Linked DNA regions of Coturnix japonica. The protein of the gene in region 2 interacts with the protein of the main gene of each other region in a biochemical or structural test. Links are inferred from orthologs where the notes say so. Each region holds a gene or a part of one and is shown on either strand. Other genes may lie near its edges. The genes, in order: PTX3 and CFH.

Region 1 (4,318 bases), on a different chromosome or scaffold from region 2:
TCACTTGAATAACATATGGAAAACATCTGCCCATTGCAATGTAGTATGGCTTCTTTTTGTGCATGCTTGTGAGTCCTTAAGGTCTCCTTGAATTTGGTTTCCAACAGGAACTAGCACTCTGGCCTGCTGCTTTTTCTCCCACTTAAACCCAAGCTCTGCAATTTTGCAAGAGAAGCAGCTCAGTTCCCAGGTGGGACCTATGTTTCAGACCTGACCGCACCACACTCGTGCCAGATATATGAAGAGCAACCCAAGCCTTGCAACACCACCTCTGAGCCAAGTAACTGAAATGCAATTCATTGCAGGCTCCAAAAGGATCCGGAGGTAGAGCCCTTCAGGAGTGCTCAGCCCTGGGACCACCTCTGCACTGCTCAGCAGCTCTCTGCATCTGACCCCCAAAGCATTTGTTCTGCTCCTAGAGCTGCTGGCTTCTCCCAGACCCCTGCATACAACTACTACAGCACTTAAGGGCAAGCTCCAGCCCTACCTCTGTCCCCAGGGCCATGGGGAATTCCTGCCCTGTTCCAGGAATGGAGCACAAAGCCAGCTGCAAATGAAGGAGATTTATTGATGGTTACCCCAGGCAGGTCAGTGAGCAGCTCAGTTCTGGCTGCTCTACCCACACCTTTGTGCCTGTCCCTCCCCGGTGCTACAGGTGAGACTGCACAATAGTTAAGGGGCACGAGAACTACTGCCTAACCATGGGATCAGTGCTTCTGTGTCACAGAGGTTCTTTTGAAGGTGCCTCTTTAATTTGTATATTCATCAAGGATTTTATTTTTTTCTTTTAATTAACCAGGAAAAGTAACCCAAACTAACCAAAAGTAACCCAAACTAACCAAAAGTAACCAGCAAAGCACCAATTCACCTGAAGTTCAAATCAACGTTTTCTGGATTCTCATCTGAGTCTGAAATTGGACAACCTGACTGTTAATAGACACAATTCCAATCCTGCAGCTGCTAACCTGTAGGCTTCAGAAGGAAGAAACTAGACAGAATACATTACCTGCAAGGACACAAAGCTGCTATTGCTAATTTGGGCTAGAAAAGTAAAAACCAAACAAGCTGTCTTTATTTTACAAGTTCTCCTTTCGAGCTCAAACTACTAGCAGAGGAGAAGATTCCAAATTAAAATCCCCCCAAAGCCACAGTATGTGGGTTACACCAGACACACGCATCCAAACCAGCTCCAGGTAGACACGTTTTCCTGCCAGCCCCCTCCGGAGCCGCAGCACATACCAGCAGCCAATGGAGTTTGCACAAAGAACACAGAACAGCCCAAGTGATGCGGCTCAGGCAGCAATCCCTGTCCCTGCTCCCAGCCCAGCATGTTGTGTATTTCTGGAACTCTGCTCCAGGGGAAGCAGCAGCGTGCGGAGCAGCTCTCCCCGACCCCCCCTCCTGCAGACCTGGGGGCTGACATTGAGCAAGCTGCACGCCCCCTGCTCCTCACTGCCAAAACCAACAACCAGAAGTGCTCCTATTACAGCGCTGGCACTCGCAGCGCTCATTCATTCAAGCTGAGACACTCGGAGCATTTATTAGGGGCTGCCCCGTGGCTCCTCGCAGTCCCCGCTGCAGTCCCACTCCAGCCCAGCCCCAGCCCGGCTATTTGCAGGAAGCAGCTGCAGAATGCTGCCTGGAGGAGTGCTTTCTCTGCTCATGCTGTTCTGTGTTTTCAGGGCTTCTGCTTCCGTGCTGGATGAAGATGACGACTACGATCTCATGTATGTGAATCTGGACAACGAAATTGAAGGTCCGGTCCTGGGCACTGAGGAATGTGAGTAGATACAGTCTACATTTCTGTTAAGCGCAGCACTGCGTTCTTTGTTGCTCAGCTCTTGTAACAGCCACAAGCATTATTTTAAGAGGAACCATGTGCTTGTAGCAGTAGGTTATTGCAGACGGCAATGCTCCGGTACTGGGATGGCGCTCCACAGTTTGCTGTGCACTACTTTTCTGTTTCCCTGCAGCAGACACCACTTGGTTTTAGGATTGCTGCACTGAGCACTGCTTTGCCTTCTGCTTTGAGACAGACACAAACGCAGGGGCAGGCTGAAGCCTTGCACAGAGGCAGGTTTTGGGAAACACACCTTCTGTTTAAACTTAAATCCGTGCCTTGCCTTCCAGCTGCCTCGTGTGACTGCCAGCGGGAGCACACGGAGTGGGACAAGCTCTTCATCATGCTGGAGAACTCACAGATGAAGGAGAACATGATGCTGCAGGCGCTGGAGGATGGGCTGAAGGAGGACGTGCAGGCAATCAGAGCAGAGTTGAGCCAACTCTCCGCTGGCCTCGCTGGCACCTTCAGCTCCGCGGTGCAGCAGCTCACCTCCCACGCCTTGGCCCAGCTGGAGCAGGCACTGCAGAGGAACAGAGACCAACCTGAGGATGCTGAGAGGCTCTGTGAGTTCAAGCAGGACAAGGTTCTGGAGCAGGTCCTGCAGCTGAGCCACAACGTGTCCACCAGGCTGGGCCAGCTGGAGAGCTCCTGGCTGAGATGGGCAGAGGGGGAGGCCCAAGAAACAGCTTTCCAGTTCCAGCAGGACAAGCTTGGCCCCAGCAGAGAGGACAACCTTCTCTTGAACACCTTATGGAAAGAGCTGCAGCAGACCAGAGCCGAACTGAAGGCATCTCAGAAGTGGGCTGCCCAGCACCTACTGCCAGCAGGTGAGTGCAGCGTGGGGCGTTTCCCAGAGGGTTCTTTGGGGGCACAAGCAAATGTCCTGTGAATGCTTTCCTCCTCGTAAGTCCCCAAAGCAGCCTTGTGGGCAGCCCTGAGGCTCTGAGCAGGCTGTAGATACAGGGAAGCAACTCAGCAGGCATTCTCGAGAAAGCAGTTCTGAGCTTCCCAAACATGGGATCAAAGAAAGATTTAATCAAAACCCTCACACAGGGCAAAGCAGCCACCCAGCCACCAACCCACCTCCAGCAGCTCTCCTAGATCCAAACAGCTGCCAAAGAGCAGCAAACATATTTCATGCAAAAAAAAAACTAGCCTTCCCTTCTACCTCCCCAGGTGGTGCACCCCCCACTCACTGAGCTCTCCTGTCCCCCTGCAGCATATTCCTGCTCCTTCCTCAGCCTCCTCCCCAGCTGAGAGGGCACTGCAGCAGGGCACAGACCAGCTGCCGACAGCCTGATACCCCTCCATTTACTTTTTTTCCTTCTGGATTATCAGTGTGCAAGTGAGGTGCCCATAGAACAATGAACTCACTGCTCAGATTTCCTTGGGGTCCTTGTGCTCTGTAACAAGACTCCCCACAGCAGCAATAGAGCAGGGTAATGCAGAGCAGAGCCCCAGCTGCAGAAAGCATGGGCACATACTGTTGTGTGCCCAGCAGAACTGTGCAGCTCTGCCAGCCTGGTGACTATGGCTGCGTATTTTCTCAGTGCGCCCACATCTTAAATAACTACACTGTACCACAAATAAAACTGCCCGTAGATTGAAAAACTAAGAAAATCCCCACAAACCTACACTCATATGGTCTTGCACGTGTGCCAACAGGAAGGAGGCATGCAGCCCCACCAGCACCGTCAGCGACCACTTAGCAATGCCATCAGCTCTCACACAGCTGAGCAAGAACTCAAAGCTGTATTTTAATGGGGAACATGAATTCAGTGTTATGCTTTCCCCCCTTTATTTGCTGCAGCATTTTAGTAAACTTGCATGTCCTGGGAGCAGACCTTCCAGCACATCCCTTACCCCCATCCCAAGCACATGGATCTTGCCTTCCAAAAGGCATGAGCTCATTCCTTATCTCCCCGCATAGCACAGCCAGCCTTGCACCATTTACTGTGCCCTGTAGGAGAGTCAAATCTTGATCAGCATTAGAGACCTCAGCCTCAGCACTGGAAACTCAGAGTATTTCCTCCAGTTGCAACATGATTTTATAGAGAGCATTCTTACTTTTTAATTCAAAATATACCTTTTAAGTAATTCCAGTGTATCTCTCTGCCTGGAATTTCTTTTTCAAGGGAATTTTTTGCAACTGACTTTAATCTTGAACTGCTGCCAGACGTGTCTTGAGGGATTTCCTAATCACACTTTTTGTTCTTCAGTGAGGCTGGATTTAATTTTGTTTAGCCCCTGATAACAAAGCCAGAAAGCCTGCTAACTAAAAGCTGCTTGGTGAAAGCATTCCTTCACAGCATCTTAAGGAGCATCCCCAGCAGCTGCCTCTCAGGTCTCCCAGAAAAAGAGAATCCCTAAACTATATGGGTTGGAAGGGACCTCTGCAGCCCCCAGAGCAGGTCTCCTGCAGGAGGTTATGCAGGAAAGCATCCAGGTGGGTTCTGAACCCTCCTCTGCAGATCC
Region 2 (4,569 bases):
CTGAACATCACAAGTGAGAACTGATGAAAAGCGATCTCTGAGAAATTAAACCTTAGAAAAGAAATGAGAGATGGCCTCTAGGAAAGGAAGTTTCTTGGTGAATGCAATTCATTGCTAAGCACAGAGCTGGAACCAAAATCTCAACTAGTTTAGTTGCAAGGCCACAGGTCTGAGAAAGCAGCAATGCTGACAGTCCAAGTGCTGCCTGGAAGCGACACTACAGGGAAAATATTTAGGAAATTTTTCCGTGCAAGGGGATGGAAGGGCCATCGCAGACAGAGATTAAGTAATGTGATTTCTAATACAGACTGAGCAGAAAAAAATAATAATCCTAATTCTTCTATATCAAAGGGTAAAACCTTAAAAAAGTGTAATTCTGCAGCTACGGCATTTTGAAAGTATGAAGAAAAGAATGCTCACCGTGAGATCTAATAACTTTCTTTTGACTGGCATAAGTAGGTGGGAGAGGTAGGCGAGCTTTGGAGACACTGCTGAGGTGATAAAGGAAGTGTCAGACCTCCCACAGCTTCATCATTTTCCCAGCTATTTCAGTTACTCTAAAAACAATGATGTTCCTTCCAACCAATTACTCTGAGAAGACAGCTCTGTCCACTAGAGGGTACTCTGCTATCAAAAAATGTGGTGGGGACTTCCACTTCATTAGCAAGATACATTCACATTTGAATACCTTTTTTCCCCACTCAAACTGCACTCATTCCATGCAGCCGGAGCGAAGGCAGTGCCCACTCGTGGCCAAGAGAAAGGAAAATAATTAAAAAAAAAAAAAAAAAAAAAAGTAGAAATAAGTTAAATGAAGAGTAGTCCTCCAGTTGGCTCCATCTTGCAAATGTGTTAAAAGTTTCTATTTTACCCAAGAAAGATTATCTGCAGAGGTGAAACAAGGGATTTTTCCAGTTCTGTGTATCTTTCATTAGAGCTCATTAAGCATGGTCATGCCAATACTTTCAGTTTGTAAGTAGAGAAAACAGAGTCCAAATTCTATGATTTCAAGAACAGCTTAATAATTACACATGTACTTATACACGTGACTAACTTTTCTTCCATGCATGCATCTGCTTGCTAGCAACCACAAGACTATTCAGACAATAAATGTACAGCTCAGTCATCTCACATTCAAATCAATATACCATTTTTAGATCCCGTTTATAAAAGGTTCAGAGAAATTGCACATGGGTCTTAGACATCTAAATTTATTGCTTTCAACCTCATTTGTTAAAAAACAACAACAACTTATTTGTCCAGGTTTTATACCCCGTAATTTGACCTATTAACCTATTTTTCATTTGTTACCCACAATAAATTGTATTCTCCTCTTATTTCTGATTTATACTTTTGTTGTCTGTTGTGCAGACTGGGGACTCTTTACACCTCATTGTTCACGTTAAAAAACAAACAAAACAAGACAAGAAAGAACTCCTGACAGTCTCTTCACCATTACATTATGTTTCTCCCTGGATTTCATTTCAATTCTCTGATTGTTCTTCTCTACTACTGCTCTGATATTAGTCTACGTGACAGCGTTACTGTGAAGCGCTTCAGTATGCATATGCATTTCTGACTACAGCTAATTAATACTCCTTTTTTAATGTGGTTTCTTAATAGTTTGAGAAAAAGAAATCAGCTGGCAAGATGTACTTCAAAATTACATTAATTACATCATGCACTTTGATCTGTGTACTCAACAAGTTAATTGGGATTTATTTACTTTTATATTAGCACATACAGCTTAAATGCATTCCTCCAAACACTTCAGTAGGAAACCAGAAAAGCTGGAATTAATCATTTATTAAACACTTGTGACTGGATCAGGATTAGGAATAGCTCAAATTACTTTCCCACCATTATTTTGCTTCCAGAAAGTCAAGCACAAACTGCAAATTCAGGTAGAAGTGCTCAAGCCCTTGTGAAACAAGCTAGTTCTCAAACAACTCACAGCTAAGACATACTAGCTCAAAATCACACGGTGCCTTTTTCCTAGTCTTTGTAAAAGAAAACAAGCAGTCAAAGCAAAACAGATTATTAAATGGATATTAAGCAATATGAGTACATTATCAAGGAAAATAAATTCAACAGTGAAGCAGAAAATATTAATGCAGCCTTCTGGAAAGATACCCAGAATACAAACTACCTCTTTAAGCAAGTCCCAAAGTGTATCTGCATACGTTTATCTTATTCAGTGGATGAAAAATACCATAGACCAAATCTGTCATTGAACAGTTATTTTGTAAGCCTTTCAGTATATCCAGTAACAACTTCTTTATCTCAGATTATCACACGGACTGTTTCGGACAGACAGAAATACATACTTATTGAATATCATTTATTTTAACCTACCAACTTTTTCCAAGTTCTATATTTTAGAATAATTAACAAACAAAGCAAAATACAAATAATTTGTCTAACCATAGTTTACAGCGGTAATAAACATTAAAAAAAGAAGTGCAATGGTTTAGTAATAGCAGTAGTTATCTGATAAACAGATGAAATGCTACCCACAAGAAAATACTAAATACTGAAAGTGTTAAATGCAACCAGAAGAAATGTCAATTATCGTTGTCAGAAATTCATTAAAATAGGCTTCAATTCAAGCAATTTATTTACCAATTGTTTTCATAACTGTCTTTCCATACACTTTCTTGCCACTTTTTTCCAGATTAAAGCTTACCTCTCTCTGCAGTACAATACGTCCAACATAACAAGAGAGCTGCATAGCCCAGGAAAGGCATACTAGTGATCCAGGATCTCAGAAGTAAGTGCATTTAATGCTGTAGCCAACTTTTTCGATTACTTTGTGTTATGCGCACTCATAGTTTACTCACTGAGTGACTCCAGGGACTGACCTTGCCCCATTTATACTGAGTGATTTCAGCAGTCACTTCCCCTAATTCTCTTGCAACACACACTTTTTTTTTTTTTTTTAGCTTTCCAAACTTTGCTAAATAAATAAATAAATGTATAACAATGTGGGTTGACACTGTCCTTCCCTCCCTGCAGTCTGCTCTGATAAACTTCCTTTTACTGCCCAAAAGTTGTACAAATATATACGTATATGTATCATTGCCTGTGTCTTCTATGCTTTGTCAATCAAATTCACATTAAATGCAGGTGAAAATAAGCTTCTTCTCTACACATACATCAATTTAAGATCGTTGTTGAAAATAACTGAAATAGAAAGCAGAAAAACATTGGCCGACTGGCCAAGCTTGGAGTGTTGTGATCAGTGATGCAGAGTCTGGTTGGAGACCTGTGAATAGTGATGTTCCCTGGGGGACGGTGCTGTGTCTGGTTTTGTTCAATATCTTGAACATAGCATCCACCCTCAGTAAGTATGCCAATGATACAAAGCTGCAAGGAGTGGCTGACACAGCTGAAGGCTGTGCTGCCTTTCAGCAAGACCTGGACAGACTGGAGAACTAGGCAACAGTAAACCAGATGAGGTTTAACAAGTGTAAAGTCTTGCAGCTGGGAAGGAATAATTGCGAATGTCTGTACAGTCTGAGACATGATCTGCTGGAGAGAAGCTCTGTGGAGAAGGTCCTGGTGGATAACAGGCTGGCAATGAGCCAGCAGACCAATGGAATCCTGGGGTGCATTAAAAGGAAAGTGGCCATCAGGTCAAAAGAGGTGATCCTCCCTCTCTATTCTGCCCTGGTCTGTTCAGGTCTCACCTGGAGTATTGTATCCAGTTACAATATCTGGTATGAGACAAGGATCTTCTGGAGAGAGTCCAGCGGAGGGCCATGAAGATGACATGGCCAACCTCTTTTACTCAGTTTGTGGGTGCAGGACAAAGAGAAACTGCCATAAACTGGAGCATAGAAGTTCCACACCGTTATGCAAAGGAACTTCTTCACAGTAAGGGTAACAGAGCACAGGAACAGGTTGTGGATGCACAGGTTTGTCTTCTGTATGCTCCCAAAAGACCACATAAGATACCCTTAAGATCACTGGCTTGGTTAGCCTACTGATGTAGGTTAAAACTGAGTATGCTTATTGCATGTAAAAATCTATGATGTAGGTGTAGGTTCTGTCATTTCTGCAGTTTTTATACTGTACCTTCTGATGTCACAAAACTTACAGAAGATCGAGTTTAACAAACTGTTTTTGGGTTGCTAGCTAAAATACTATGGGTACAAACCACAGTCAGACAAGGATACTTTGACCTAGATCTGAACTGAACCTGGAACCAAATTGAAAACATATTATAAATTTGTCACTTGCTCTCTATGAACACTGTGAATGTTAACGTATTTAAGCTGAAAGATAAAACTAGCACATAAAAGACAAGTATAAACCTACTGCAAATGCATTTAAACTGAAAACTTGAAGAAACACCTTAGAAGTGAGGCTCTGAAGTATTTTTCATGGAGGAATAAAGTAGGCAAAAGAAACAATGTCTGATCACAAAGTGGGGAATGAGGCCCAATTCTTTCTAGTCTCATGCTCGTAAACTTCATGCATTACTGACTAAGCTTATCCTAACCAAGTGGAAATAAAAATCAGGAACTTAATCCTTCTTCTTTTCCTCATTCCTCCATAGTCTATCCA

The links.
Region 1: the proteins of CFH (region 2) and PTX3 form a complex in vitro, tested with the Homo sapiens proteins (3 studies listed by IntAct, with this or other methods). The link is inferred for Coturnix japonica from reciprocal best matches to the Homo sapiens genes CFH and PTX3.

The regions. Positions count from the first base shown.
Region 1 is NC_029524.1:20,184,011-20,188,328, reverse strand, and holds the start of PTX3 (pentraxin-related protein PTX3), read left to right. Parts: upstream 1-1,352; 5' UTR 1,353-1,632; coding exon 1,633-1,780; intron 1,781-2,130; coding exon 2,131-2,670; intron 2,671-4,318.
Region 2 is NC_029523.1:2,583,425-2,587,993, forward strand, and holds the start of CFH (complement factor H), read right to left. Parts: upstream 2,861-4,569; 5' UTR 2,781-2,860; coding exon 2,687-2,780; intron 1-2,686. UniProt on the Homo sapiens protein: Glycoprotein that plays an essential role in maintaining a well-balanced immune response by modulating complement activation.